Rattus norvegicus: one gene and its partner. The protein of the gene in region 1 interacts with the protein of each later gene in a biochemical or structural test. Links are inferred from orthologs where the notes say so. Each region holds a gene or a part of one and is shown in the gene's direction. Other genes may lie near its edges.

What was found.
Region 2: the proteins of Pard3 (region 1) and Jam3 form a complex in vitro, tested with the Homo sapiens proteins (2 studies listed by BioGRID and IntAct, with this or other methods). The link is inferred for Rattus norvegicus from reciprocal best matches to the Homo sapiens genes PARD3 and JAM3.

What each region holds. Positions count from the first base shown.
Region 1 is NC_086037.1:71,972,075-71,987,802, forward strand, and holds the start of Pard3 (partitioning defective 3 homolog), read left to right. Parts: upstream 1-5,428; 5' UTR 5,429-5,687; coding exon 5,688-5,807; intron 5,808-15,728. UniProt on the Homo sapiens protein: Adapter protein involved in asymmetrical cell division and cell polarization processes. Seems to play a central role in the formation of epithelial tight junctions. Targets the phosphatase PTEN to cell junctions.
Region 2 is NC_086026.1:33,820,598-33,836,320, reverse strand, and holds the start of Jam3 (junctional adhesion molecule C precursor), read left to right. Parts: upstream 1-7,869; 5' UTR 7,870-7,886; coding exon 7,887-7,962; intron 7,963-15,723. UniProt on the Homo sapiens protein: Junctional adhesion protein that mediates heterotypic cell-cell interactions with its cognate receptor JAM2 to regulate different cellular processes. Plays a role in homing and mobilization of hematopoietic stem and progenitor cells within the bone marrow.

The sequences.
Region 1 (15,728 bases):
TACTTATTGAGCCAGCTCCTTATTCCTTTTGAAACACAGTCTTACGTAGATCAGGCTGATCTCAAACCCAATATGTAACCAAAAACAATCTTTGCCCGCATGTTTAGTTTTGTAAGTGTTGGTATTTTGCCTGCATGTCTGTGTGAGGGTGCCAGATCTCCTGGGACTGGAGTTACAGATATTTGTGATCAGCTGTGTGGGTGTTGGGGATTGAACCTAGATCCTTTGGAAGAACAGCCAGTGCTCTTAATTGATGAGCCATTTTCCCAGCCCAATGATAATTTTGAACTTCTGGTTCCCTTGTCTTCAATTCTTGAGTCCTGGGGATTATGAGTATGTGTCATTATGACTGGTTTATATAGAACTGTGGATCAAAATTAATAGGCAGGGCTTTGTACATACTAGGCAAAGCACTCTGACCCCAGCCCCCAGCCCCATCTTTGCCTGTTATACTCTGTGTTATTGTGCAATTTGCAGCAGTTCAGGATGATATCTGTTTTCCATCCCTCCATATTTCATCACTTATATACCCCTCATCCAGTCATGAGGCATAAACTCACACCACCTTGTGAAAAGCAGTTTCTGTCTCAAAGTGTTCAATCCACTGATGACTCTCTTCTTTGACATCACACTGTGGTCTTGTCTGCTGGTTGACCTGAACTCCAGAACTATGCTGTCTAATGTGGCCTCTGTTGACCACAGGCAGCTACTGTGCTCTGGGGATGTGGCTGATCCAAATTGAGCTGTGCCCTGAACATCAGTCATGCACAGGATCAAAATGACCTGGCCAAGAAATATGAATACAAAGATGTATTAAATTGTGCAAGTGCCTGCAGCACTTGTGAGGATGAGTCAGGAGGATTGCAAGTTTGAAGCAGAACTGGGGGACACTTTAGTAAGCTTTAGTCCAGCCTGGACTCTAAGGCAAGACCCCTTCTTATTTCTGTACATTCAAATAGCACTATGTATTGTCTTTGGTTAAATAAACTACATTGTTACAATTAATTTCATTTGTGGCCATTAGTTACTTGTAATACATAAAATAGTAACTATTGTTACTTGTATACACAAAAATGTATTTCTCTGGGATAAAATTAGAAGGCCGTTTCCTTCTGTGTCAGAGAGAGTGAATAGTTTTTTTGGTATCTCTGTGGTTGCACTATGTAGCATGTGAGCATATTTCAGTCATGGTCCATTCATTTCTGAAATCTTTACCAGATTGGACTCCTCTTGAGGAAGAATCCTATAATGTGTGGTTTAAGGCTTGATATAAAAACGTATTGCTGTTACTGAATGAGTGTGACAGATCTGAATGTTCTGATTTGTGGGTAGGGCAGACATATGTTGGTGTAAACATTTCTCGGATGTGTAATCAAAGAGTAAGCAATACACATGTGTGAAATGCCTTGGAGATAATACTCTTCACAGGATGACTGCATTTCAAAAACCTTTCACATGTTGTCTTCATTCTTTTATTCATGTAGGCATATAACTTTCACATGTTGTCTTTATTCTTTGTGAGTAATCATGCATGTGTGTATGCACACATGTGAGTGTATGCATGTGAAGGCCAGATGACAGCCCTCAATATCATTCCTCAAGTGTTGTCCATATATGTGTGTATGTGTATATGTATATTATTATATATGTACTCTCCAAGTAGGTCAGTGAGCCCCAGGGCTCCACCTGTCTCCTCCTCTCCACATTGAGGTTAGGCATTGAGTTTACATGTATACCACCAAACCTGGCTTTTGTTTTGGTTTTTGCCCCCCACCCTCACCCAACCCAAGGTTTCTGGGAATTGAATGGAACTATCTTCCCAGCTCCTACCTCCTTCGTTTTGAGTTATTAACGTTCTAAGTGTGAGCTGCTTGGTACAATGATTTCCCTACACATATGAAGGGTGTGAGTGTAGCTGGATAGAATTGAAGTTATATTCTGTGGGGTCACATGTACCCATCTGAACATAGGCACAAAGCCCAGATAAACCCTAATTAAGTCTCAGAACTCTCTGGGGTATTCATAGCCAGTTGAATCAATTAGCTGTGAAACAGAAATACAAAGGCCTTGATTATTTTTTAACTAGAAAATGCAGAATATAAAAAAGCAAATGCATTATAAGATGTTTACACAATGACCTTTGACCCCTGACTTTGATAATTTTGTTTCTCAAAGAGACCAGGTTTGCTTTAGTGCTTACCTCAGACGAGAAGCTATTTGCTAAGCTGAATATTTTATTGACATGAAGGAGGTTTGGCTATGATCCATCTTTATGGTTAGATGTTATTTGAGGAATATAGTGGCAGAAATAAATTATTTGTCATAGAATTTTATGTTTTTTTTAAGACAGCAAAGTGTCTGGCATCTAAAAAATTACAAAGCATTAGTTTTTTATTAATTTTTAGCATATTCATTGTTCATGTATGTAAAAAGCAGGGACTAATGATACATCTGAGTTGGCAGAATGCTTGGTCAGAACGTATAAAGCCCCAGATAATAATACCACCAGCATTTTGTAAACCAAGGGTGGTGGCACATTCTTGTAATCCAGCACTTGGAGGGTAGGGGAAGGGATTCAGAATTTCAAGATCATCCTTAAGTACATAATGAGTTAAAGACCAGTCCTGGACATGAGAAACTACGAGAAACTATATCTAGAAGAAAAAAAAAAGGACTCAGTACAATTACTCAATATGGCTGGTTTAGGATCTGAATGGAAAGATGTCTCAAGACTCCAAGGCATGGGAATTCAGTCCCGCCTGCAGGCACTGAGCCCACCCACCTAACAAAAGCTTTGAGGATGTTACAGAACTACACCAGTGAGCTATGGAAAGGTTAGTATATGGTAAATATTCCAGCAATTACATTTTAAGATGTTACCATGTTTCAGGACCTCAAGTTGAAGGTGCTGTACTAGGGAGGGAGGCACACTTTCAAGAGAGGAGACATTTGATTGACATCTCTTTAGCTGTTTATCAAAGCTTAGGACATCTTCAACTGTGATGTATACGATTAATGATAACCATATCTCTATTCAACTAGCCAGATAAAGTATTCATCATCATCACCACCACCACCACCACCACCACCACCACCACCACCACCACCATCACCATCACCATTATTATTTACAGTACAGGGTCTCATGTAGTCCAGGCTGTTCTTGAACTTTGCTATATGTTTGTGAACTACCTGCTATGTATCTTTAAATTACTTGCTATATGTTGGGGTTACAGATGTGGACCACGAGAGCCAGTTTTTAATGGAGCGTTAGAGACCAAACACAGGGCTTTGGACATATTAGATAAGCATTCTATTAGGTATATCCCAGCCCTTGCCCAGTTATGCCTCTGACTTTGAGATTTCTTTGCTCACCTTCCTCAGTCATTTGTTAGCATCCTTTAAACCATGGCTGCTTATATTATGTGCTCTCACGTACTAGCATATATTAAGATTTTTAATATAAAATTTTGTTCGATCCTCACAATTTATGAGATGCGTCTCACCAATTTCTTTCCTCAGCTGGTAAAGACAAGGCTGGAGAGGGTGTGAACATCACAGTTGAAAGTACTAGTGTTAAAACTTAGAACTTAATTTAAATCAGTGCTATTTTTTTTTTGACAAAGCCCACTAGCAACTTTATACTCCTCCCATGTGGAAAAACAGAAACACCAACTCTAATTACCCATAATTATTTGTGGGCGAAAGTGTTTTTATTTATATTTTATTTAATTATTCTCTATTCTCTCTCTTTTCTCTCTCTCTCTCTCTCTCTCTCTGTGTGTGTGTCTCTCTGTGTGTGTGTGTCTGTGTGTGTGTGTGTGTGTAGGTCAGCGAACAACTGTGGGGCAGTTCTCTTTTCCCATCACGTGGGATCTGGTGGGATCTGGAGTTAGAATTCAGAATTCAGTTAGAATGCAGGCTGAGCCGTCTTGCTGGCCCATGGACCCAAGCATTGCTAAAGTCCAAAACAAGAAAACCTCAGCAGGACTCACTGACATAGTGTGACCAGCATAATCACTTGAAGACAAGTAGAATGATGTAGTCATGTAGAGGTAATAAGAGTCTTTCCCAAGGCTGCGTGCCTTCAAGCATTCTCTTGTGGGCTTTGGGAGAGTGAATTCTCGACGGACACCTGAGAGGATGATTCATGATGGTATCGTTTGCTGGGATCGGCGATCATCCGGTGGACTAAGAGTAGTCAGACGGGAAAAAATGTGATGTTTCCTCTGACCTAGAGCCGCAAGGCCAAGGAGACTGCAGGATTCTGAAAAGCCAAAGGACTTCTTTGTTTTGCTTATTTTAAAAAGGGAGGAGGGATGGATGGACAACAGCACCAGCTGTAAGTGCTCAAATCCTGGGGTTCACAGGCGCTTTAACAGGCTCAAAATATCATGCAAATTAACTGCCAAACTGAACTTACTGTATTGTGTGAGATAAACTCGGGTCATCAGCGAGTGGCTCTCTTGAAGTTTGCCATTCTTTGAAGACAACGTTAACATTTATTTAGGGACCACATCTTCTAAGAAAGACGGAAAGCAGCTCCAGTCACTTGTCTAGACTTGGTCCACGTTGTTATTAAACATCTTAGAATTTGTATATCACCCACTTTCTTTGGAGTTGGGGGTGTGTCAGTGAATTATGAGGCAGCCTTAGCAGCGAGGGAATATCCTATCTAGAACAGCCTTCCCTTTGAGCATTCGGGCGGTATTTTTTCAGAGGGTTTTAGGTTGCTTAGATTGAGGAATTTTCAAGAAACAGATGTATTTGAACTGCGGTGTTAAGTCCTGCTTATTTAAACAAGTGGGTCACCAAGAAACTTTTAGGTAAATAGTGGCCTCAAGAGGAAGTACCAGGGCGTCCACGCGTCTCCAACCTTTCTCGGGAGCAGCCAATTAATCTCTGCTACAGAACAGCGCCGCCCGGCCTTGCACCGGAGTCAGGCACTTAGGATAGAAACCCTGCCTTGCCGCGGGGCAGAGAGAGACCTGGCTTGGAGCTTCCTCCATAGTCCGCTTCCATTCTTCGCGAGCGCGGCTCAGTGGCTCTCGGGCTTTAAAAGCGTTTCCGAACTTAAACTGCTTTCTCCCAGGAAGGGGATTAAAAGTCACAAAGAAAGGAAGAGGACCTCGTTGGAGACCTCTGGGGGTGAGGGTGGGGCGTCCCGGAGTAGACCTCCTAGAGCAGCCTACGGCAAGTGGGTTGGAGGAGGACGCGCCCTGCCCCGCGCAGGCCCAAGCACAGCGCCGCGGGTTGCGACGCGCGTCGCCGTGCGGTGAACCGAGCAGCCGGGCAGCGGCGGAGGCCTCGGGGCGCCCCGCCCTGCGCCTCCTCCTGCCGCCTGCGCGCGGTGCTGTGCGCCCAGCCCTCTGCTGCTCCTCCTCCCTGCCTCGCCGTCCCCTCCTCGGAGTCCCGACTAAGCGCTAGCGCCACACGGCCCCGGGCCGCCGCCGAGCGCGCCAAGACGCCGAGACGCCGAACAGGTGGCCGGAGGCTGCAGGCGCCCGGGCGGGGACAGGCGAGGGCAAGTGAAGGCGGCCGGGCTGGACATGGTAGCCGGGCAGCTCTGTGCGGCCGCCTGCTCGCGCCCCTAGCCGCCGGCGCGCCGGCGCAGCGGCCCCACCGCGCCCTGCGTACAGTCTCCCGGCCCAGCGGCGCTCGGGCCACGGACGGCGAGGGACGGCGGCATGAAAGTGACCGTGTGCTTCGGGAGGACCCGGGTGGTCGTGCCGTGCGGAGATGGCCGCATGAAAGTTTTCAGCCTTATCCAGCAGGCGGTGACCCGCTACCGGAAGGCCGTGGCCAAGGTGAGTGGCCTGGGGCGCGCGGCGGGGAGCGGACGGGGGAAAGGCGCGGGGATCAATATGGCGCTTCCTGGAGACGGAGGAGGGAGACCGGGAGGCGGGGAAAGGGAAAGTGCGGCAGCTGGGCCGCCTCGCCGGCGCCCCCGGCCCGGACCCGCGGCCGTAAAGTTCTCGGCGCTCTCCAGCTGGGCCGCGATCGCCACCCGCGCGGTCTCTGGACACTGTCTGGGTCTTCCGGGCTTAGGAGTGGGCGGCCGGGTGCTCAGAGCCGGCACCGGGCGAAGCAGAGTGCGGCACGCGGGAGGCGCGGCGCTGCCTGGCGGGGCGCCTCTGCCCGACCGTCTGCGGGTCCTGGCAATCCAGCTCCAGGCCTCTCCCGGAGCAGGCCTGTCCCGGAGGGTTGCCTACGGAACTTTGGGGTGTGTGGAAAGAGTTGAGCGATCTGGTACACGCGGGAGCCGCAGGCGGGCCATGTACCCTCTGTGTTCTTGCGGGATCTCCGGGTCGCGCGGGCAGCCCTGGTTGGGTCGGCCAGGCTGATGGGCTAAGGTGGGGGCGATGGAGTGGCTCTGGTGCTCGGCTCCTTAAAACACCTCAGCCTAGACTCGCTTAGCCCATGAGCTAACTCCCTCTGGATCTTTACCCATACCTAGCTGGATGTGCTCCAGTGTGGGCCTGGGGTCGGAGTATCCTCGATTTCTCTGTTTTCCTCATAAAGAACATTGTCTCCATTAAACCGCATTCCTCCATAATAGGTCAGAAGTGGAAGGGCGTTTTGTAGGTTCTTTTACCCTCTGTGTTTGACAACAGCCCACGCTGAAGTTTCGTTCTAGCACCTGAGGATATTTCCTTTGTATGAGAGTGGAATGTGTTCCCTTTGGTATTTCCCTGTCTGTTGTCTGTTCAGTGGCCTGCCTTCTGTGACTTCGGAAGCAAGCAAGAGGAAAAGGTGGCTTTGTCTGCCTATGTCGCCGAATGCTCATGGGCCACCCTCCATTTTTCTCTGAAATTAAGAAAGGGCAAAATGGTTACACCATTGTTTTGTTTTGTTTTTAGTCTGTGTTGGAAAAATAACAAGATTTTTTTTTTTTCTTTTAAGGAAACTTTGGGTGATGGTTGGGAATCTGGTACAGGGATAGGAGATGCCGAGTTCAACAGCTGTAAGTGTTCTTCCAGTTGGTCGAACTCATTGAAAAATCAAACAACGTTAGTGGAAATTGGGCACCTGTTTATCTTGTAAAGCTGACAAGAGGGGAAATCCTCTGTAACTTCACACTTAAGTGTTTTAAGCATCATTTCTGACTGACAGTTGGTGATTTAACATTGTAAGGGAAAACCAGGCTGTCTTTGTATTCTGCCGACGAACACCATTAGTTGTGAAAGAAAAGAAAAATGGCAGTAACATATGTAGAATATAGAGGTGCGCCTACTTCCAGCTCAGACAGCATGACAATGTTGGCCTCTGCTTCGCTGATTTTGTTTGTAAAACTAGCCGTGTTTTATCTTGCACACCCTGGGCAATGGTCAAGTTGCCTGTTGGGAAATACACACAGGCCACTGACTGACTGCATTACTGATTTTCCATAGGAATTAAACACTCACTATTTCAAGTCATATTGAGTATTTATTGTGTTGTGGGTGCTGGGCATCAAAGGGATCCATGGGCTTCGTTGTAGATGATAGATTGTGAGAGTCTGAGACAAGGTTCTTGTGATTCCTCAGGTGAGGACAGCTGTGGTGTTTGCCGTGGGGAGATGTTGTCCCGGGGAGGTTGAAGGATGGAGTTGAGGGCTCTTGCTGATAGATGTGGGCTGGTCTTCACTATCAGCAGTGACTGTTCCACAGCGAAGGGAGAGGGGTGGTGAAAGGGTCGCAGAAAGAGTAGACGGGCTGTGTGACTAACAGTTGTGAGAAGACCGGGTGGGAGGAATGAGAGATTGTGACATTGGAGTTACAGATAAGGCAGTCAAGGGTGATTGACTGGTTCCAAAAACTCAGTTTAGGAGGTGGGGTGTGTGTGTGTGTGTGTTGTGTGTGTGTGTGTGTGGTGTGTGTGTATGTGTGTGTGTTATGTGTGTGTGTGTGTGTGTGTGTGTGTGTGTGTGTGTATCTTTCTGTATGTGTTCAGAGGCCAAAAGTCATTGCTGGGTATCTTTTCTCTCTGCACTTTAAAAAGAAAGATTTGATAAAATCTTACAAATCTGGAATTCAAGGCCAGTCAGGGCTACATATACCTCTCTTTGCAAAAGATAGATTTTTGCAGCATTCGCAGTTGAACTGTTGGATCACAAGACTTTTGACTCATAAGTGTTCACAGGGCTGGGCTCATGACACATAGCTTAATCTCCCAACTTGGAGGCAGAGGCAGGTGAATCTCTGCTGAGTTCAAGATCAACCTCATCTGCAGAGTGAGCTCCAGGCCACGCAAAGCTGCATAGTGAGAACCTGTCTCAAAATAAAATAAAATAAAATGAAATAGCCATAAACAAGCCAAAACCCCCAAACTAGAGAAATGAAAGCTGACTCAGCAGCTAAGAGCACTGGTTGCTCTTCCAGAAGACCTGGGTTGGATTCCCAACCCCTACATCATAGCTCACAACCACCTGTAACTCCAGTCTCAAGGGATCTGATGCCCTTCTGGTCTCAGTAAGCGCTGCATGCATGTAGTACACATACGTGTAGTACACATACTGCATGCATGTAGTACACATACGTTCATACAAAACTTCCGCACACAAAAAACAAACAGTTTAGCTTACAAGTGTTTAAAGGCTTAAAGGAGCTACTTCATCCATTTGCTGTTTTTCCTCTTGGATGGTTAGGTAATGGCCGAGATTAATCTTTCACACTTCTCCCATCCCATATAAGACAACTAGGGAGCAAACATATCAACATTGCTAGTGTTGCAACTTCTGTTCTCCTATTTCTTCTGCTTAATAAAACACGGTAGATCCTGCATAAAGAACTGGGTAGCCAGGTAATGGTAAAATCTTGCTTTAGGTTGCTAGGTGACACAAGACATGATGAGCTCCCACCTTTTGGGAAAAATGTGGACAAGCAAACCATGTTCAATGTATGAAAAACCCATGAAGTAGAAGAAAAAAGAAGGGAAAGAACTTGGATTTAAAAAACAGAATAAAACAAAATAAACAAACAGAAAACACCCAGACAAGCTTTCTGTGCACTAAGCACTTTGTCATATGGTGGGGCTAATTTTCTTGTATTCTGTTTATGTTATTTGAGCTGTTTTCTCTGTAGGTTGAAGAAATCAATTTCTGGCCAGCTTAATGCCATGTCTTAGCACTAGAAATATCCTTAAGAAGCCAGTGTTTCACGGCTTACCCCTAGTCATATATAATCTATATTTTTTTTCACTAGTGTGAAAACATTTTTGTAGTCAAAAGGTGAAATGGCTGTCTGTCCTTTTTTACCCACTACCATCAAGACCCTGGGTTTAGTAGATGCTGTGCTAGCTGTGGAGGACCAGGTTACATGGAATCTTCTACTGAGTGTGTCCAACTGGAGGACTATTTGTGTCTCTATGTGTGTGTTCTGAGCCTTATCATTTCTGGTGCAATCAGAACCTTAGTTTTAAGCATGGGGTTTATTGAAGAGAAGCTGTGTACTAAATGTCAAGCTATGGAATTTCACAGCAGGAGCCACCATTATGCAGTGGTGGGTACCATGAAGTCATTAGGTTTTGCACTGAGCTTGGTGGGAGGGATGGCTAGCTGTATTTAGGGCCCTGCTTTCTAACTGAGTAGCTGAGTGACTCCAGAAAGCTCCTGCTTTGCTGTGTGAGAGTTCTGGATCCTCAGTTCTGTGGTGAAGTGAGGAGAGCGTGTGGACCTGGAGAGTGTATTGCCATCCTAAAAGTATGAGGAAAGGCATCATGAGAACAGAAACATTGGGGTTTTGGAGGGCCTATGTTTGGATCAAGCTGTGGAGGACAGGAAATGCCAGGGAGAGACTCTGGGATGTCATATGGTCTGGTAACAGAAGAGACAGGACGAGTTGCTGATCGGATGAGTTTGGCTTAGTAGGGATGAAAAGCTCCTGTAGACAGGAGAAGGGATTGAAGACAAGATGAGAGAGGGTGGGCTGCAAGCCCTTGGTTCACCACCCTTCTCCTTATAGACTGTCTCGGAAGAAAAGTTTTGGGAACCCAGCTGTATTAGCTGTTTAAGGTCAGGCAAACTAACCCTATAGAGCCTCAGCTTCCTCATCTTCCTTTCAGGATTAAAAAGAGTGTTGAGCATTGGTGAATATGAATTCTTCTGAACTAGATCCGGACTGTAGAAGCTGCTCAGTAAAGGACTGTATCACTGGTGCACATCATCCAGGGAACACCCTCGGCTTTTCTCCATCCCATAGTTCCTGCTTGGCTTTTCTTCTTTTGCTTAGAGTGTAATTTAATTGAAGAATAGGTGGACTTAAAACCTGCTTATGCAATGGTACAGTCAGAAGGAGAGATTGATTCATTGAATGTAGTGGGCAGAGAATGCCAAAGCTGCTCTAAGTGTTTCAGATGGGCTGGCTGGGCCTCTACTCCTCAAACCGGTCTCTTAAGAGTAACTTAGTAGCAATTTATTGTTTAAAATACAGTTTAAAGAGGAGGGGAGGCGGTGGGACATACCCATAATTCTGTTACCTAAGCCCTGGGAGGGAGGGGCAAGACAGGTCACAAGTTCCAGGCCAGCTTGGTCTGCATAGTGAATTCCAGGTTAGTCAGTGAGTGTCTCAAAGAAACAAAAATAAATAAGTTGTTTTAAACATATGCACAGGAACTTGTAAAAAAAAAACTACTTTCTTTAGGATATTACTAATTACTAAATTTACGAATCAGGCCTTTTATGAACCACCTAGTGGTTGGTATGAAGTGTGTGTGTGTGTGTGTGTGGGGGGTGGTGGGCAGTGAATGCATGGCAACATCTTGCTACACAGTTGCAAACTTTCTTGACACTTGATGGAAGTTACATTGTGGTAGTGATTGAGAAAAGATACCGGGAAGAATTAAAACAAAACTAGTGAAGTACAAGACATTTTTATTTGCAACATTTTCTGTCTTTCAAAGAGGAAAAAGAAACATAGTTAAAGTGCCCTCCTCTCTCAGAGGCGAGGGGCAGTGTCTCTGTAGTGATCTCTTGCTCTTCTGAGTCCTCTACTTCAGAGTCCATACCCCTCTGACTTTCCTGTACTCTCCAGCCTCCTCCCCTCTTTCTTGCTTCCTTTACCTAGAATGATCTCTCTGTCTCTGTCTCTGTCTCTCTCTGTCTCTGTCTCTCTCTCTCTCTGTCTCTGTCTCTCTCTCTCTCTCTCGCTCTCTCTGTCTCTCTCTCGCTCTCTCTGTCTCTCTCTCTGTCTCTCTCTGTCTCTCTCTGTCTCTCTCTCTGTCTCTCTCTCTGTCTCTCTCTCTCTCTCTCTCTCTCTCTCTCTCTCTCTCTCTCTCTCTCTCTCTCTCTCTCTCCAGGCTTCCATTGACACTCCGCTTAGGCCAGCCCTGTCTGGTACTGTACCTGGGTGTTTCAGGCTCTCTTTACTTTGTGCTTCTCCTGAGGACTTCCTGTAACTCTTGTACTTTATAGAACTCAAAGATAGGCAGAATGGGGCTGCGATTCTCTTCCAGGTGAGATGGCTGATGCTAGTGCCTTGCTTGCCACAGTCTCACTTGTTCAGCAGACGTATATTATACAGACATCACAAAGAGTGGGTGATGCTGAGAATAAAAACATCAGCACACAAGTGCCCACAGGAAGGACCCTTCTGAGAAGATACTGATTCCCACTTGCTAGTTAGAAGGGACTTACTACTTGAGTGTAGCACAAATAGTGTATAATCAGAATTAAGGCTAAGAGAGCTCAGAGTGTCTGGAAGATTCTCTTTCATGTCAGCTATTTTCAAGGAGTTCAGTTTGTCTGGGAGACCAAGCAGAGCTTAGTCCTAGGGTTTGCACTGGGTCAGATTCAAGGCATGTGGCCAAAGCAGTGTGGGAATCTGGCCCTGACTATACTTAGGCTCGGTCTAGTGCCTCCATTTCTTGCAGTGTGAATCCTTGGGGCTGGGCCAGAAGAGAGTGCAAGTGTTTAGAAATTGAGATTCACAGAATGAATCTGGCTGAGGAGAAGCACTGGTTGGCTTATGGTGATTCCAATTCCTCATGGATGAATTACTTGTTGGAGGTAATGTTTAAAGTCCCATATGGACCATTAACCTGAAGACAGATCCTCCACCTGTCCTGGGAGGTTCTTACCTTCCTGTGGCGTTGGTGATGGCAAACACTCAACAGATGACACACACGTTATACTCTCTGTCTTTTCAGGGTTGGAAATGAGAGGAAATGGGGGGAAATTAGGGCAGTAGGTTCTTTCCATAGGTGATTTTCCACTGGGTGGAGTTGGCATTTTAGGCCCTCCCTCCTGAATAGCCATTAATTCTACATTCCTATCTAGACCTAAGTCAATAGCAGTAGAACTTGTGGTCCGTACGCTAAATAGTTTTGGTGTCTTTTCTGTTTAACACAGAAAATAGAAAATAGTTCTTATTGTTATTTTGTTTTGATTTTTTTTTTTTGAGTCTCTTTTTAACCATGCTGCTCAGGGTGCCTCAAACTTGTGATGATCCTCCTGGCTTTGGGTACAGATGTGTACTACCATGCCTTGCTAGAAAATCTTTCCCTCCCTCCCTCCCTCCCTCCCTCCCTCCCTTCCTTCCTTCCTTTCTTTTTCCTTGCCTTTTTCCTTCCTCCCTTCTTTTCTTTTACTTCTTCTTTTTTAGATAGGCTCTCTCTATGAAGCTTTGTATGAAACCACCTAGAACACAGAGATACTCCCACCCTTGCCTTCTAGTCACTGTCTTCTAAGTGGTGGGATTAAAGGCCTGTGCTACTGGGCCTGGCCTTAGAGAATCAAATTCTAATGAAAGTAAATTTAGTGTTTAGTGACTAAAGCAGAAAAATGTTTGGTTCTCTTCCCCCACCCTCCTTATTTATTTATTTTTTTTCCGGAGCTGGGGACCGAACCCAGGGCCCTGTGCTTGCTAGGCAAGCGCTCTACCACTGAGCTAAATCCCCAACCCCCCACCCTCCTTATTGTTTTTCTTTTCAAACTTTGGAAAGATTCTGTGGAAATGGGTTTCTTTCTTGGCGCTCTGCTTCCTTATGTCTGGCTTTCTATCTTTGGTGATCTATACCATTAGGTGATACTCAGGATGCTGCTAGTTTATTTGCTTACCCAGCCTACACAAGAATAGCCCTGGCTTCAGTCCCTATTACTTCATAGAACCAGTTTTGGGGAGGCATACCTGAAATCCCTTCACTCTTGAGCTGGGGGCAGGCAGGTTAGAAGTTCAGGGTCATCCTCTGAAATAGTTTAGCATAGCAAGCTTGGGGCCTCTCAGCCAAATGGGACTGTCTCAAAACAAAGCAAACAAAAGCCAACACCCTTGCCTTTTCTTCGTTCTCAGTCCATATTGGCACACATGGTTAGAACTTTAAGCTTCAGGCCCGCATGTCCTAACATAGTGTTAAGTTCTTCTCTTAAATTATACGGTATGTGAATAAGAGAAGCGAAACGTTTACATACAAACTTAGGCGTAAATATTCATAGAAGCATTATTCATAATGACACCAAATAGTTCCTGTGTTGACCAGCTGACAGATGCATTGGCTTGGGGCAAAGAGGCTACAGAGTGACTGAGAATTGTTTCATTTACTTAAAGATTTTAAATTATTTTTGTTATTGTTATTATCATTATTATTGATTTTTCAAGATAAGGGTTTCTCTGTGTAGCCCTGGCTGTCCTGGAACTCACTGTGTAGATCAGGCTGGCCTGAAATCAGATCTCCTCCTGCTTCTGCCTCCTGAGTGCTGGGATTAAAAGCGTGTGCCATCACCATTTTTGTTACTTTTTTTTAAGGTTAATATATTTTACGTTTTGCCTGTATGTATGTAAATACACCATGTGTGCGCCTGGTGTTGGATCCCTTGGAATGGAGTTACAGAAGATTGTGAACTGCAATGCAAGTTCTGAGAAATGAACCCAGGTCCTCTTCTAGAGCAGCTAGTGCTCTTAAACAGAGTCATCTCCGCACCCCAAATGTTTTAAATATATGTATGTATAAGTCTATGTGTGCCATGGGTGTGCTGGTACTTATGGGGGGCCCAGAAAAGGGCTTTGGGTTGCTTGAAGCTGGAGTTAGAGGTGGTTGTGAAATGTCATATATGGATTCTGGGAATCAAACTTGGGTCCTCTAGAATAGCAGCAAATACTCTTAACCACTGAGCCATCTTTCTACTCCTCTTATTCCTTTTGTAAATGACTGATTAAATAGTCTAAATGTAGGTAGTTATAATGGTTGCACAACTACGGATATATTAATAATCATTCCTTGTTTACTTGTGTGTGCAGGAGTGCAGAAGTTGGTGTAGACGTTAGTATAGAGTGCCTTCAGTTGTGCTCCATCGGGCTCCCTTGACAAACCCGAAGCTGACTAAGTTGGCTGCACCAGGCGGCTCTCGAAATTCAGAGGTCAGGTTTACAGCTGTGTCGGGAAGCCTTGCTTTCACGTGGCGTTGGGGACGGACTTGTGGTCCTTAACGCTTGTGTGGCAAGCACTTAACTGCGCTATCTTTTTAACCCCAATCATGTGGGTTTTTTTTTTTTTTTTTTTTTTTTTTTTTTTCCCCCGGAGCTGGGGACTGAACCCAGGGCCTTGCGCTTCCTAGGCAAGCGCTCTACCACTGAGCTAAATCCCCAACCCCCAATCATGTGTTTTAAATGGGTGAACTTTATGGTTTACGATTATATCTCAGTAAAGATGTTAAAAATAGATATCATAAGCCAGTATGAATAAGATCCCATTTTTAGGTATTTATAGTTCTGAGAGCCCCATAGAACATGTCTTTGTGTATCAGAGATAACCAAATACCCCAATTGAAAATGACTTTTAGAGATTTTTTTTGAGTACTGCGATGTTAATCCTACCTCTTTGAGTCTCTGTAGTCTATCCTGCTGTCGGTCCAGGAAGCTCTGAATCCCATGATGCACTTTGTTGCCATACCCCCCTCTGAAGGCTTCCCATTGGTCCATGAGTTCCATCAGCTCTTTCTTCCCTGCCAGCCTTTGCTGAATGGTGTTTAACTGAGAGGTCCCAGAGGTGCCTATTGGAAGAGTTGTATGTGAGTTTGCTTTGGGCTCTCCGTAGCTCCCCCTTCTCTGCTCACCTCACTCCTGTGTGAAGGCGGGGCAGCTCCAGTTTCAACCCCTGAGCTCCAGCAACATTTCTAGTCTGCAGGGCTGTTCATCACGCTCCTGCTCCTGGGTTACCAGGCAGGTGCGATATGCATGGGCTTTGCCAGGGAGCAGACAGGACACTGGATCTCATTCCACTCAGCAGTGATGTAAGAGTCCATTGCCTCCCTCGGGACACAACGCTGTTGGGAGTCAGGGTGGATGTGGTTTAGGGTGTCCTCAGAACTCATTGCTTCATGATGTGTGTCTTCAAAGGTGAGACGCCTGTGCAGAGGTGACTTCCTCAGACTTAGTGAGTTTTAATTTAACATTTTCTCCTGCCTGATGCTGGAGGATGCTGTATGTATCCATGTGTATACACATGCAGACGCAACATTTTCATGATATGCAACTATAAGTGTGTCACAACAATGTCACAACAGTACTGATTCCCAGTCTTTGTTCTACAGCCTGATGTGGCAAAGAGCTAAGTTTTGGGCTTGTATATATATATATATATATATATATATATACACACACACACACAAATATATATTTTTTTCTGCTTAAATTTTGTTTTTACATCTTTTTAGAATACAAAACTAGAGTATATTACAAGTGTGGTGGTTCAGAAAAGGCCTTTAAAAGATTCCCTGTCCTGAGAATTGATGTTTCTGTCTATGTAACAAAATAACT
Region 2 (15,723 bases), on another chromosome or scaffold:
CAACAAGACAGACAAACCAGGGTGAAGTTGCATTAGGTCAGTTCCAGCTGCACTGCGACCCTATCCGGGGGACATATGTTGACTCTGTGTCTCAAAGCTTAGCAAAACTGCCTATTTCCTTCCTGCACTCTAGGGATCAGGGCCTGCCTGGAAGACAAAACGTTGCCTGGAAAGAAGGAATGGGTTCAAATATAGCGCCAGACTATCAAAGGTTGTGAAACAGAGGAGCTCTTAGAGATGGGTGAGTCAAGCTCTTTATCCTGTGCAGGGTTCAATGGCATCGCTAAGGAAGACTCTGCTGAATATTGTCAGTTCTGACTGTACCCACCTGCCCTGGCCCCCAAACTGTGTTCCATTTCCTTAGGCTAACCATTGAAGAAATAAAAGTGCATTCTATTAATGCTACTTTAATACTGCAGTTGGTTAAAGGTTAGTCTGTGGGGACCAAAACTCAGGATGGGTGTTTGAAATAGGAGATAGCTGGCCATATGTATATTTGTCACGAGTTTGCCTTTTGTAGAGGCACAACTAGTCATTTCTACTGTCATCTGTCTGTCCTTTAGTTTTGTGGCCACTCGAGGGTCTTTGAGCTGCTTTTCCTCCTTCATTTTTTGTCTTCTTGGTTGTGAGCCCAGCTTTGAATGGTCGAGCCCTTTCTCCAAACTACTGATTCATTCTTTTTTTTTTTTTTTTTTTTTTTTTTGGTTCTTTTTTTCGGAGCTGGGGACCGAACCCAAGGCCTTGCGCTTCCTAGGTAAGCGCTCTACCACTGAGCTAAATCCCCAGCCCTCTACTGATTCATTCTTAACTAGGCAGTGACAAGAGGGTCAAGGATTTTGTTGTTGTTGCTGCTGTGATTATTATTATTACAAGGTTTTAAGCTACCTCCTATCCCTGTGCAGGAGAAACTGGGGTAGAAGATTGATGATATAATGGGTTTAACTTGCTAAGAAAATACCAAGCTACACAAAGTAGAACTTACCTGGAGAAGAGCTGTGCCTCCAGTGTCAAAGGTAATGAACAACCTGACAGGCTCGCCAGGAGGAAATCTTGTACCTTAGCATAACTGAAGTTTAGCTTGCTGAACAAACATGTCTACCAAGATTTGTTTGCTAAGATTGTCGCCAATTAGCAGGGCCGTGGTGAGGTTCTTTCATACCAGCGCCCCGGACACAGGCAGGCAGATCTCTGTGAGTTTGAGGCCAACCTTTTCTACAGAGCTCCAGTAAAACCAGAGGTACACAGAGAAATCTTGCCTTGAAACAAAACAAAACAAAACAAAACAAGATTGCCACCAGTTAGACCTTCTTCCCCATAACAAAAAGAGACAACTCTGGCTTACAACTGGCCATTGGTGCCCAGTCCCATATTGAAGAGCACACATTTATGGGGAGCTCCAGGATCACAGCTACCATTAAGTCCCACCCACTCAACTATAAGGAGACACATAATTCTGTGAGGTAGGCACAGTGACCCTGTGTAATAAGTGCTGGAAAAGGATAACACTGGTTTACTTCAAAAATAATTGTGACAATATCTTTACTGAGTACGTCTCTTACTTGTCCAAACAGTCAGACGTACAGTCTCCTGTCTGTGTCTAATTGCTCAAAGTGTAACTTGGGGTAGGGACCTGAAAGAGATTTAAAGATGACCGTGTATGTGGAGGGTGAGAGCCTGAGACCTATATAAGCTGCTAAAATTTCAAGACCGGTTTCTCTTTGGGCCTTGATCAGAACCGGATGTACCTATTAAACAGCCTTATGATGACTGGGGTCAATTCCCACCGTGGGGCGTAACACGGCTGTGTCATCCCCATGTAGGTAGGTGACCCAGGAAATAGAATTAAATCCCCACTGCTCCCAATTCTGGAGCATGGTATCTAGAATCTGTGCAGGGGCAGCTACAGGGGAATCTCCCTACCCATCTCTGGAAAGGCCTGAGCAGTATAGGCTAAGACTCTCTGCTCATTGCAGAGGCCTGAAACACCAAATTGGACCTAGCAGGGTCTCTACTGAGGTCACACGATCCCCACAGCAGACGGGGAGTGAGGGCACAGGCTTCTGGTTTCTCCCTGGTGCCTGAAGGAAGCAAACACTCTGTGGTGCAATTTGTGTGAAATGAAAATTACCCCTAATTGGAGGGCTGGGATAAAAATATCTCCAATCTGTAAACAAAGCAATTGCAGTCTGCTGGAGGCACACAGCTATAGCATAAAGGGCCACAGGTTAGGCGCACTGCAACAGGAGGTGGTCTAGCCTGCTCTTCAGAGACGAGACTTGCTCCTGATATTGTTCCCAGGTAGTTCAGGGTGTCCTTGAGGTTCCTCAGCAGTGCCAGTGGTACTGTGTTTTAACGGGTATTGGGGAGTAAAGCGCCCCAGATACTTCAACCCCTGAACTAGCATAACTCCCTCCCCCTGGGACATATGAGTATATGAAGGCACACACAGAAGCACCTACACTTGGGATTCTAAGAGATGAGTTTGTTTAATTCATTAATTTTATTTATTTTGGTTTTGCGAGTCAGGGTTTCTCTGTGCAGGTCCTGGCTGTCCTGGAACTCGCTTTGCAAACCAGGCTGGCCTGGAACTCACAGAGATCCTTGGCCTCTGCCTCCTGAGTGCTGAGATAAAAGTGTGACCTTTTTCCAACTGAATCACAGAGAGGAATATGGAAATCAAGTGAACGACAGCACATTTTATTGGAGGAGGAAGAGGAGGAGGAGGAAGGGGAGGAGGAAGAAGAAGAAGAGGAGGAGGAGGAGGAGGAGGAGGAAGAAGAAGAGGAGGAAGAGGAGGATGTACCTGCAACTATTTCATCAGGTCAGTGGGAGAAGGGTGAGTCTTACTTAAGTAAAACTAAACTACTTCAGAGACAAAGACAAGAGGATAATAGTTTCTGTAAAATGTTGTGAGTGTAGTCAGAAATATTGCAAAGAAAAGAGTTGAAAGAAAGGAAAAACAGATTAACAAGCGTATGACCAAGCTCCCAAAAAAGCTATGCAGAGAAATTTTTTTTGGGGGGGGGGGTGTCAAGTCTCCCAAAAAGAGAAGGATTCCCTCCTTTCTCTCATGATGGAGAAGCTGGATTCAGGTGATTACTTCAGGGTTTAATGACATAAAGAAAGAAACAAAATTATGATTGTGTAATTTTTTAAATAATAATAATAATATCAGCTGGTGATGCGGAATTCACATGGCAAGTTTCAGCACTTGCTAGGCAGAGGCAGGCAGATCTTTGTGAATTTGGGGTCAGCCTGGTCTGCATAGTAAGTTTGGGGTCTTGAGTGTTTTCCTACAATTACTGCAGAAAGAATATAAGAAAAAGCAAACATCCACTAAAGCTCTCCTTTGTTTATCATTCCCTCTGACGTCTCTGAAGGCTGGGAGTGTTTTATTTATCAAAGTCCGGGTAGAATATTGAAGCCATTTTGACCCATTTGTATCATGCTTATCAGAAGCATGAGAGTGAGAAAGAGAAGAAATTTGGGCAGTAAACCTGCATTGAGCTCCATCTGTGATTCAGCTGTTTAATCTCCGGCCATCAGTTCACTGGGATGAGTCCCTGTTTTCTAGGTAAGGAATCCAAATCTTAGATAAGCATAAATACACAGACACATTTGCTGTGCTCACTGGCAAATCAAGTAGGGAACCTTGCCTCTTGCCTCTTGGTTTGCTTTTTTTTTTTAGGCTTTATTTATTTTACATATGTGAGTACATTGTCACTGTTCCCAGACACATCAGAAGAGGGCATCAGATACCATTACAGATGGTTGTAAGCCACCATGTGGTTGCCGGGGATTGAACTCAGGACCTTTGGAAGAACAGTCAGTGCTCCTAACCACTGAGCCATCTCTCCAGCTCCCCTGATTTGCTTTTTATGTTCATATTAATCAATATTGTAAAACTCTTGAGTTCAGCGTATGCTGATTTAATTTCTTTAGCTCTTTTAAGAAGTGCATCTCTCAGCTTGGCAGTGGTGGCTCAGTCCTTTAATCTCACTGAAAGGTCCTTCCCAAGTGGGAGAATCTTACTTACTCCAGTACCGGGATGACGCGAACCCAAGAACTCATGGCAGCCGATCTTGATGCAATCAGGCAAGTGTTTATTTGGGAAGCCAGAGCTCTGGGGACGACATGTATCTCACGCAGGAGACAGAGGAGTCAACCCCGAACTCAATTTCGGGGCTCATTTTATAGAGAAAATTACTCAGGCGGGGAGCAGTAGGCAGGTAACAATTTCATTGATTCATTTAAATTGGCACACTCTATAAAGCAAACCATTTTCCTGCTCTTGTCTTTCTCAGAATTATGGAACCAGCCGTAATCCGGGCCAGATGGTCTTGTGGTTAGCCTATTTCTTGGAACAGGAAGCCATGTTCCCAGGCTGGGTACGAGTAGGTCTCTGAGTGCTTGTAGTGGAGTTAACTAAAAAATGTTTATTCTTACATCACCAGTCAGGAGGCAGAGGCAGGCAAATCTCTTGAGTTTGGAGCCAGCCTGGTCTACAGAGTGAGTTTCAGGACATCCAGGGCTGCACAGCGAAACCATGTCTCAAAAAAAAAAACCCAAAAAGAAAGTATCTCTTTCTAACATGTTTCACGCTAGAACGAATGCATTCAGATAACGTGTGCTGTGGTTAAAGGCACAGACTCCGGCTCTACTTACCAAATGTTTCCAGAACCTTCTGCTCATTGAACTTACTCAGGCTGAGCAGAGTTCAGTTTCTCCAGGAAGAACAGACACATCACAGACAAATGTGTTACCCTGCCTTGCAGCAGCATCTCCACCTGCATTTCCATTCCAAGAACATGCTTTGGCCATTGCTAATGACATGGGACCTCTGTTGTGGAGGGAAGTCAGTACTTTACAGTGAAGCACCTGCCACCCTCTCTCCCAGGAACCTCTGCCCTTTATAGAATATTCATGAAGTCTTTTCTTGTAATCTCCTGCCCGTATTTCAAAAGGAGCTCCAAAACAGAAGGGCATTGAACAGAGAGAACCATTTTCATAATGCAAACACAGGAATTTAGCAGGAGAAAGGAAGCATTGGCTTCTAAATAACGGTGCTCTGTCTACAGTCAGACGCCATCTCAGGGTCCCCAAGGAATCAGAATGGTTCTCTTCAGTTAGGTAAATATGACTGAGCACATGAACATAGGAAAAGAGAGCAGAAGAAACAAAACAACAAACAAACAAACAAACAAACAAACAAAAACAAACAGATTAACACCCCTCCCCCAACAATTAGGTTTAAAGAAACTCCCAGGAAACTGCACTTTGTTTTGTGCTTAGTGCAGAAAGAGAGGCCAGCATGAGAAATACCATTTACACACATTTGCCTATGACGTACATGCATGATGACCAGAAACAGAAGGAATGAAAAGACAAGTAGCATTACAATAGGTTATTTTAAATTTTTATCCTGATGTTTGGGATTAGTTTTTTTTTTCCTTCTTCTGGGTTTGTGGTGGAATAATCGATTCACATTTATAAAGGTTTGAACATTTATAAAATGTAGACTGAGGGTCAGTCATGTGGAAATGAAAATTGAAACACACTTGGCAGGGACTTTTCCCTTTCAAATCTCTTGAAATGTTATTTTGTTACCCATTGAATAGTAGTATCAGTTGTTGGGAACTCTGGCACACTTTCTCAGAGGCTCAGTTTTAATTGTGTTGTTTCTGGAATTTTAGGGATGCCTTTTCTAATATTAAACATGGTGCAAACCTTTCTCAAGAGTTTTCCAGGGCTGGAGAGATGGCTCAGCGGTTAACAGCACTAGCTGCTCTTCCAGAGGTCCTGAGTTCAAATCCCAGCAACCACATGGTGGCTCACAACCATCTGCAGTGAGATCTGATGCCCTCTTCTGGTGTGTCTGAAGGCAGTGACAGTGTACTCATATACACAAAATAAATAAATCTTAAAAAAAAAAGAGTTTTCCATTGTATTAAATGTCAGTCCAGATTGTCTAATGTCCTTAGGTCTAATGTCCAGTTCTTGGTTGTTGTTTTGAGACAGAGTTTATTTATGTAGGCCTGGCTGGGCTAGATCTCATTTTATAGACCAGGCTGGCCTCAAACTCACAGAGATCCACCAGCCTCCACCTCCTGAGTGCTGGGATTAAGGGCATGTGCCACCACAGCCCACCTCCGGTTCATTTTTATCCTCCTTGTCATCTGCTTATAAAATCTTACTGCATTTTCCTTCCCTCCCCTCCCCACTTCCTACTATTCAGAATTCAGAGCAAGGCTAGTAAAATGGCTCAGTGGGTGCCAACCCTTGCTCCTAAAGCCTGGAAACCTGAACTTGATCCCTGGAACCCACGTAGAGGTGGAAGAAAGTCAACCTCACAAAATTGTTCTCTGACCTCCACATGCACATTGTGGCATATATCTCCTGCCACTCACTCCTACTCTTACATACAAATGATGATGATGATGGTGATGGTGATGATGATGATAAAATAATGAACCATTTTTAAAATGGAAAAAAAAAAGCTGGAGAGAGAGATGGCTCAGCAGTTAAGAACACTTGCTGCTCTTCCAGAGGACCCAATTTCAGTTCTCACCACCCACACCAGGCATACTATTTGTTAACTCTGTTCCTCTGGCCTCTCTGGGCACCTACAATTATTTTCACACACTCACATGCAGATATACACACATACATATAATTAAAATTATAAAAAAAAATCCAGACATGGTGGCGCTTACTTCTAATACTAGCACTTCGAGGCAGAGGCAGTTGGACTTATGAGAATTTGAAACTAGCCTGGTCTATTTAGCCTTCAAGTTCCAGGGTGGCCAGGGCTACATAAATAATACTCTGTCAAAAACAAAACAAAACAAAACAAAAAACAACAAAAAAATGGGAGACTGGGGAGATGGCTCAGCGGTTAAGAGCACTGACTGCTTTTCCAGAGGTCCTGAGTTCAATTCCCAGCAACCACATGGTGGCTCACAACCATCTGTAATGAGATCTGATGTCCTCTTCTGGTGTGTCTGAGGACAGCTACAGTGTACTTATATAATACATTTTCAGAAAAAAATTAAAAAAACGGGTAAAAAACCCTCAAGTGACAAGAATTACACTTGTACTGTGTAGGACACACTATTGGGGACACCATTAGGCTTCAGGTCTACCAGAGAAATGAATCATACTTATATAGCATGTTATTATATTTATTTAGTGGGTATATCTTGCTAATGTTTATTCAGATTTCAGCATTTTCTCCTTTCATTACATATGGTATCAGGGGCCCTACAGGTGTGAAAATACTACTGTTTTAAAAAAAAACTATATGGCCATATCTTTATTTGTAAAATAATTTCTCTAATAAAAAATGGTTTATTTTATTTCATGTGCATGAGTGTTTTGCCTGCATGTATGTATGCACACCACAGACACGTTTAGTGCCGTCAGAGGTCAGAAGAGGGTGTCAGATTGCTTGGAACTGGAGTTAAAGATGGTGTGAACCACAATATGGGTGCTGGGAATGGAATCCGGGCCGTTGAAGAGCAACAGGTGCTCTTCTCTGCTGAGCCATCTCTCCAGCCCCATCATGCCTAAATTTTAATGGAGTAATCCTTCTTAGATCTGTAGCGATAATCTACAGTTTCATAAATCTACCCCGCTTCCTTCCCAGACACGCTTTTTAATTCTCCTCCGGCTAAGTTCATTGACAGAGGTAGCACCTGGAAGCGCTGAGCATCGTTGCATCCATAGCAACCAGACTGGAGCTTTCTCGGTCACTATGGTGCCGGCTAGGCCGGGCCGCGTGGTCGCTATGGAAACTGGAGGCGGGTCGCAGGGTCTAAGCAGTGTGAGCGCATGCGCACGAGGCCAGTTCTACGCTCCAAGCCTGAGCCCCTCACATTCCCCTCGACATGGCGCTGAGCCGGCGGCTGCGACTTCGCCTGTGCGCGCGGCTACCCGACTTCTTCCTGCTGCTGCTCTTCAGGGGTGAGTTGACGCTTCAGTGCGGCTGGGAAGTGTGGTCTGTGACGATGGGGACAGAGCGACCCGGGCCGCGGTGGAATAGCGGTTTCTGCGCCCAGGACTCCAGGTCCGGCCGAGGAGCTGAGGGGTGGCCTCTGCCGGAGCGTGGCGGGCGCGGCTCAGCGGGCTGTCGGGTCCGGTCTCAGGCTGACCCGCGTGGATGCGACTGGTCCCGGACAGGGACACGGCCCTCTAGAAGGACCGTGGCAGCTGCCTCACGGGCTCTAAAACTTGCTGGAGAAAACACCCCATCAGTATTGTGGTACCCAGAAGTCGTGGACGACGAGCAGCTAGGGAAGCTCCAGAGGCCTGTCCTCCCGGGAGCTGCTGGGGTCAACAAAGAAGCTGAACTGGGCAAGGCCCGCCATCCTTGTGCGGAGATGGGGGCTGCATAGGGATAAGCACCTTTGTTGCAGCGTGGTGGAGACCCTGACTCCCAAGTAGCACCAGGGTCATTTTGATCCCAACACCCTGCTAAACTTGAAAGTTCTGCTCATTTCTTTCTAGTGGAATTCCTGGGAGACACTATTTCCCTGGTCTGTGGGGCAAAAGCACTGTAAAGTTTACTTTGCAGTTAACTTTCCATAAATACCACAGGGCACTTTGAAGCTATTATCTCAGTTCTTAAAACAGCTCAGTGAAGTGGGTTCACAAACTTGGTTTGTGAACCCAATTTTCAGAGGCTAATAGTCTTCTTAAAAATTTTTTTTTTTAATTTCAAAACTGAGGGGCCACACAAGTAGTGCCAAACTTAAGGTTGCATAAGACTCCACTCCTTACTCAGAAGGTAACCCAACCCGGACCACTCCTCAACCCTTGGCTTGTTCCTTGGATTTGTTGCCGCCCACGATGCTCTCCAAGATATACAAATTAATACACCAAAGCCCTGTTGGGAGGCGGGGTGGTCAGGCAAGAAAACAAAGCGGTTTTGTGTTTGATGCTTATTCTAGTGGGGTGCGCAGAGTGGTGGTGGAAAACAGGGGTTCTGGTGCTGAAATATTGGAAACAGGCTTCTGTAGTAAGGATGACCCTTAGCCCGTATTTGTGACCATATATTTTGCTTGATTTAGAAAATTTAAAACCAAATGCAGTTGGGAGATAGAGCTGAGCAGAGGCTAGCCAGGAGAGAGGAGTGTCAGGAATGTCCTGCTCCCACAGTGTCCGTCACACTGACATGTCCTGACACGTCCTATTCACAGACCAGAACAACTCCCTATTGTTGAAGAGATTTGCTAACATGAAAATCTGCAGCTTTTATTGGAGAAACAGTTTGCAGTTGACTTCAGGGATACATTCCTGCTTGGTGATTTGTTAGTAAAAAGCAGAAACTGCTAAGGGCTCATTGCGGATGTTACCCCTCAGGTGGGGCTAATTTGGTGGGTTTCTTGGTATTGAGGGAAAGGAAAGAGTTTCCTATTATATAGCTTTTAGCTTACGTATACCTGAACGCTGTAGGTACTCTTGGGACTGGAGAGAGAGCTCAGTGGTTACAGAGGGGTAGGCCGGCAGAGGACCCAAGTTCTGTTCATAGCACCCAAGTTGGTGACTCAAACAGCAAGGGGGTCCAGCCTCAGAGGATCTGACAAGCTTTTCTGAGCTCTGTAGGCACTCACATTCATACATGTATATGGTCCCTTCACACATAAGTAAAAGTAAAACCTTTAAAAACATGTCATCTTCATAGGGGACAGCTGTGCCTTTTTAATTTTTAGGATTATGCTTTTCACTTGGTATCATTACCGTTTCCGTTTAAAATTGCCAGCTCCTGCCTGCTGTGACGAGTGCTTGCAATCCCAATGCCGTGAAGGCCGAGGCAGGAGGATCACTGTGAGCTTTTTTATTCTGGGATATACAGTGAGTTCTAGGTTACCCTGGGGGCAGAGCGAGACCACAAAAAATTTACAAGTTCCAAGTTGGATGTGGTGGCACATGCCTGTAATCCCAGGATTTGAGGGGCAGAGAGAGGCAGGAGGACCACTGCCAGTTCTTCAAGGCCAGCCTAGACAGAGACCATATTTCAAAAATTAAAAAGAAAAAAAAAGGTAATTTCAAACATAGTAAACATTCCATGTAATTGCTTTTTGCTGGGCTGTATTAGGACAACTTAGTGTGAATTATTTCATTTTGATAAGACTGTGTTACTGGTTCTCTTGTTCTGTGTATGAAGAAACAAGCATGCAGAGGTAAACTTAGAAGTCTCTAGTCTGTGCCAGTTCGGTCTTTGGCCGCTTGTTTATTGTATTCGACAGTGGCAATTCTTATTATGGATCAGTTTAGGGAAATTATCACGCGTTCAAAGACGGACTGTTTGTATATGTATAATATTCCTTTGTGAGATCGGTGACTGGCATGATTCAGCCTTACAGATGATATGCCTCCTCCCCCTTTTGAGTGCTTATGTAGCAAGTCAGTAACTTTCCAGAATTTTTGGTGTGCCAGAGAGAAGACTTTATTTAGAACTGGAACAACAGTTTGTACTCTTGAAGACAGTTTGCGAGATGAAACGTACAGGAATTCCGGACCAACTATTCCAATTCTTCCGTTTACTTGGACTCCTGAACCATGGTTTAGAGTGGCCTACATGGATCGATTGATTGCTTGATTGAACTCAGGGCCCTGAACAGATAGCCTCTACCCTTTTACGGCATTTTAATTCCTTTTGATTACTTGATTGTCACAGTCATTGGCAGGGTCGTACCTGTACTTTTAAGAGAAAGAAAGGACAGCTGATCCCAAAACTTGGATCTGCTTCTCATCTTCAAATGACTTGTCTGTGGTCACAATGCAGGCTGAGGAGACCGAATGGGTGTCTGCTAGAGATCTTAGTCATTAAGTAATTGCAGTATTCACAGTGCTCCATCTCCTATGCTCTGTGGAAGGCGCTCTCAGGGCAGCCCCCAAGGAATAGCCCTATGTCCACTTTCTGAAAAGCGGCAGATGCACAAGCATGCTTTCTGATTGTACATTGTGATAGAAGACGCCACAGCCATAGTGCACCCAAGCACTAGCAGCTGTTAGAGATGCGGTATTAACAAATTCCTTCTTTGTAAATCCTTTGAATTCTTTCAGAGCACAAGTGTGGTAAAAGAAAAGAAAATATGTGTGTGAGTGAGTGAAGTTAGAGTGTGCAGCTGGCTGAGGACAGCCTAGCGATGGGAGGCGGATTCTAGTTTTTCTCCCAAGGTGTTTCTAGTCAGGTCTGTGCGTGTGATGGCATTTGGGCTGAGTGCACATTTTAAATCTTTGCACATGCCTCTGAGTTCTAGCACTGTATACATATATATTCACTGGCATATGAAGAGAACTGGAAACTAAGTTGGGTAAGCACATTCTTTTACACTCAGATTAGCAAGGACACCATCCACTGAATGGGAGCCTAGAGCATTAACTCGCTGCCTCTTTGCCGCTTGTGGTGATGCACAGACATCTGCCTGTTCCTGATGTCCCAGGAAGCAGAGTTCTTTCCGCTTGTGGTGTTTTGGTTTTCTTGCTTCTCTGTGGTATTGATTGTGTGCCCTGCATTGTCTTTCACCCCTGCACCATCACTGTGTGCAGCAGGATTTGCAGTGCTGCTTTGCTCCTCAATCTGTAAGGAAGATTCTTTGTTTAGGTCTTTTTGCCTTTTCTTTCAAAAGTTTCTTTTTCAAATAAATGTTTTATTTTGTGTTGCCTTAGTTACTTTTCGGTTGCCATGACCAAACACCAGGACCAAGGCAACCTATAAAAGAAGGCACTCAATTTGGGGCTCACCATTCTGGAGGGTGAGAGTCCATGACCATCATGGTGGGCAGCGTGGCAGCAGGCAGGTGTGCATGGCACTGGAGCAGTAGCTGAGAGCTTGTATCTTAATCCGTAAGGAGGAGGGAAGGAAAGAAGAGAAGAAGGAAGGAGCTACTTGGGAATGACGTGGGCTTTTGAAACCTCAAAAACCACACCTCCTCCACCCAGGCCACACTTCCCCATCCTTCCCAAGCAGCTTGACCAACTGGGAACCAAGCATTCAAATGTTTGAGCCATAGGGGCCATTGCTACTCAAACCATCACATACATGTATGTACTAGAGTTTTGCCTACATCTTTGTCTGTGCACCATGTGTGCCCAAGGAGGCCAGAAGAAGGCCTCAGATTTTCTGAGACGGAAGTTACAGATGCTTATGAGCTGCCAGGTGAGAACTGGGAGTCAAATTCAGGGCTTTTGGAAGAAAAACCAATGCTCTTAACTACCGAACCAACTCTCCAGTCTCTTAACCACCGAACCAACTCTTCAGTCTCTTAACCACTGAACCAGCTCTCCAGTCCCCATAACTTTATTTGTATGAACGTGTACCTGTTTATCTCTATATGTACCGTATGTATGCACATGCCCAGAAGAGGTCAGGTCCTCAGAACTGAAATTAGCAGGTGGCTTGGAGTAAACACTTGTGTAGGTGCTGGGACCAGAACTGGGTACTCTGCAATTGATTTACTCTGTTTCTACAGTTACTGTTACAATCAGATTCTAACAGTCATATCGTCTGTCATGTCTGGACTTCGACTCACAGTAACCTTCCCTGTCTGAACAATCATATTTCATAGTCTGTAGTTCATTTCTTTCCAGCCAGCACTTAAGTCAGGCACTATTCACCACAGTGGGGCACACAGTGAGTGAGGAGCCCAGCCCTTGTGTGTATGACCATTCACACTGGGTTTTGGCCAGTGGTGTGAGTACAATTAGCAGTGATGTTAAAAAAGAAACTGACCCAGGACAGAGATGGCTCTGGCAAGCCTTGCCTGCCTGTCTTTGTCACTTGAAAGCCAGTTAACATTTTTAACCACTCTCTGTGTCTAGGCATTTTTAGTGTATCTTATTTTAGTTCGGTGGCTTCAGGAGCGTCAGGGTAGTCTCAGTTTTTACTGTAGTAGTTGTTGTGGAAGGAAATGGTCTTTTTCTGTCATCTACTCTGTGTAGCTGCAAAGTTACGAAGAAAAACGTGGAGAGATGTTTATGAGGCACTTTAAAGGACAAGGGCTGCCACTACCACAATTTGTGATTCCAGTTATGTAAAACACCAGGGGAAAATGTGGGGAACATTGATGGGTTGTGTCTAAGCAGCAGAGCGCAGGGCTGCTTGTTCTTGGCTCTTGTGTTTTTCCTTCCTGATTCATTTGCTTTATTTTTGAAGTCTTTAATGAGTTTTTTTTAAAACAATACATAATTTTTCGAAAGTCGCGCTTTGTTTTGATTTCTCTCTCATGGCTATAGTACTGGGATTTAGACTTGCCATTAGTAAAGGAAAACGTGATTTGTTTAACTACAAGCAGCCTCCGTCTTTACCTAGTTTCTTCACAGCAGCTGCATTGGATGAAGGAGGACTGTCCTTAGAGTTCAGTTGTTTGCTCATGTATTCTTTTTGAGGCATTTCAGAGATTAATTGCCGTTGGCGTTCGGTGGGAGAACAGCTGTGGCTTCAACAAATGGTTAAGGGGGACGGGAAGGCTCTTGGAGTACCTCCCCTGCCCCCCATCATTAGGACCAAACAAAAGAACCGGAGTGATTGCCTGGCTTGCTGCTGCTGCACTTTGAGCACTGCCCTGTGCCAGCCTCTGAGCGCTCGGGGGTGGGTAGGGGAGGGGGGGAGTGGATGGGGCAGGGGGTGGGGGGAGGGGATGATTCTCTAAGGTGATGAGGTAAGGAGGGCGGGTTGCTTTCATGGGAAGCAGAAAGTTATCCGTCCATGTGGCCGTCATTTGTTCCTGCCCAGTGTCTTGTCCTGTCTTCAGCATGAGGTGCAGCTTCGCAGCTGTCTGGAAGCTTATGGAGGATCGAGCAGACCCTCAGGCAGCTGCTCCTCTTGCTTTGGCCATGGTTTTCATTAAAGCACTTCTACTGTGTTTGTTTGTTTTATTCTTTCCTTTGCTGACAAAATAACAGTCTGGGCTTGTGTAGCTCAGGCTTGCCTGGAACTAACTCTCTGTCTCTGTCTCTCTGTCTGTCTCTGTCTCTCTGTGGTGTGTGTGTATACGCACGTGTGTGCGTGTGCGTGTACACCTCCCATAATGCCAGAGGTTGATGTCAAGTAACTTCTATAATGGTTTTCTATCTCATTTTCTGAGACATAGTCTCTCACTGAACCGGGAACTGGTCAGAGTCCACTTGGCAGAGTGGTTGGCAAGCCCCAGGGCTTCCTGTCACTACCTGTCCAGCTCTGGGATTGCAGTTTGTGTTGTGTCGCCTGGCCTTTACATGGGTTCTGAGGAGTCCTCTCAGGTCCTCATGCTTGCATGACCTCACTGAGCAATCCTTCCTTCCGCCTCAGCTGCTGGTACACAGGGGTTGCAGTATGTAGCGCGACACTTGACTCCTACTGACCCCATCCATAACTGCAGGTTTAGGTGAGTAGAGGTGTGAGAAGAGAAGAAAGTGGGGGAAACAGTGTAGGCAGACATGTGTGTAGGAGTGTGTACAGTGTTTGCTGAAACTCTGGGTTATGATAACAGCTGTTGAACGCTGTGTGCTCGGCATTCTATGGATTGTATAGGACAATATAGAGAGTGCAGACCACGATAGCATAGTATCCTGAGCTGAGTGCCTCAAGCCATAGACATTTGTGTCTCACTGTTTGAAGTCTCAGATGTCTGGGATCAAGGTTGCTAGCAGATCTAGTTCCTAGTGAGGCCTTCTTCCTGGTTGGTGGATGACTACAGTTGTGCACAGGCTGGAGAAGGAGAGAGAGCTTGCTGTCTCTTATAGCAGCCACTATCCCATGCTGAGGTCCTACCCTCATGACCTAAGCCCAGTTACTTTTTAAAGCCTGCACCTAATACCATCTTGTTAGGGATTGAGGCTTCAGCATGAGCTTTAGGAGGACACGACCTCGAGCTAGCTGGCTTACTTGGTCTCAGCTCAGTTTTATTTGCAGGCAGTGAATTTGTAGATGTGGAATCTGAGGCCTGGTCACAATAAACCCAAGAGCCGTACCCTCAGTGGGACATCTATCGTGCTCTCTCCAAAGCTCAGGGGCCAGTGCAAAGAAAAGGCAGAAATATAGCGGGAAAGAGCTGAAGAAGGTGTGGGACATAGCATTGCACCCCTGAGCTCTCAACGGCTGGACCACATTGGACCCATCACCATTGGAAGTGTGGAAGTTTGTCAATTGGAAGTAGAAATATGAATGAACAAAAGAAGTCAAGACTGCAGTGGAAACATCACCTAGAAAGTATTAAAATAGTCTTAGTCATGTTCTGTAGAATGGGTATCCTGGTCTAGACTGGGTTTTGTTTATATTCTAGACCCTCCTTTTTAACTATGGACAGTCTGTTCCAAGATACCCAGTAGATTCCTAAACCTGGATAGAACAGAACCCTGTGTATTGTGTCGTGTGATGTTTCCTGTACACAACATGCAAACGTCATGCCTTTTCCCTCTTAATCTTAATTAAGACTTACCATGTCATGTACTGTGACTGAGATTTACACAGTTTTTGGACAATGAAATACAATTAGTCTTTTTCCTTCACACTTTCATAGTTAGAAGATGGCTTCTTTCTCTCTGCTTATCAGGTCAAGAATTTTCAGCTTTTCACTGAAGAGTAGCAGTGTGTGGCTTCTCTGTGCCATATCTGAATTGCCAGTGTTGGGGCCGCTGAGTAAAGTGAGGGTTCCATGGATCTAGTCTGTAGTGATGGCTGGCCCACTATCCAGGTGCCTCCTTCAGTGAACAGTGAGCCGTCATGTATATGGTGTAGAC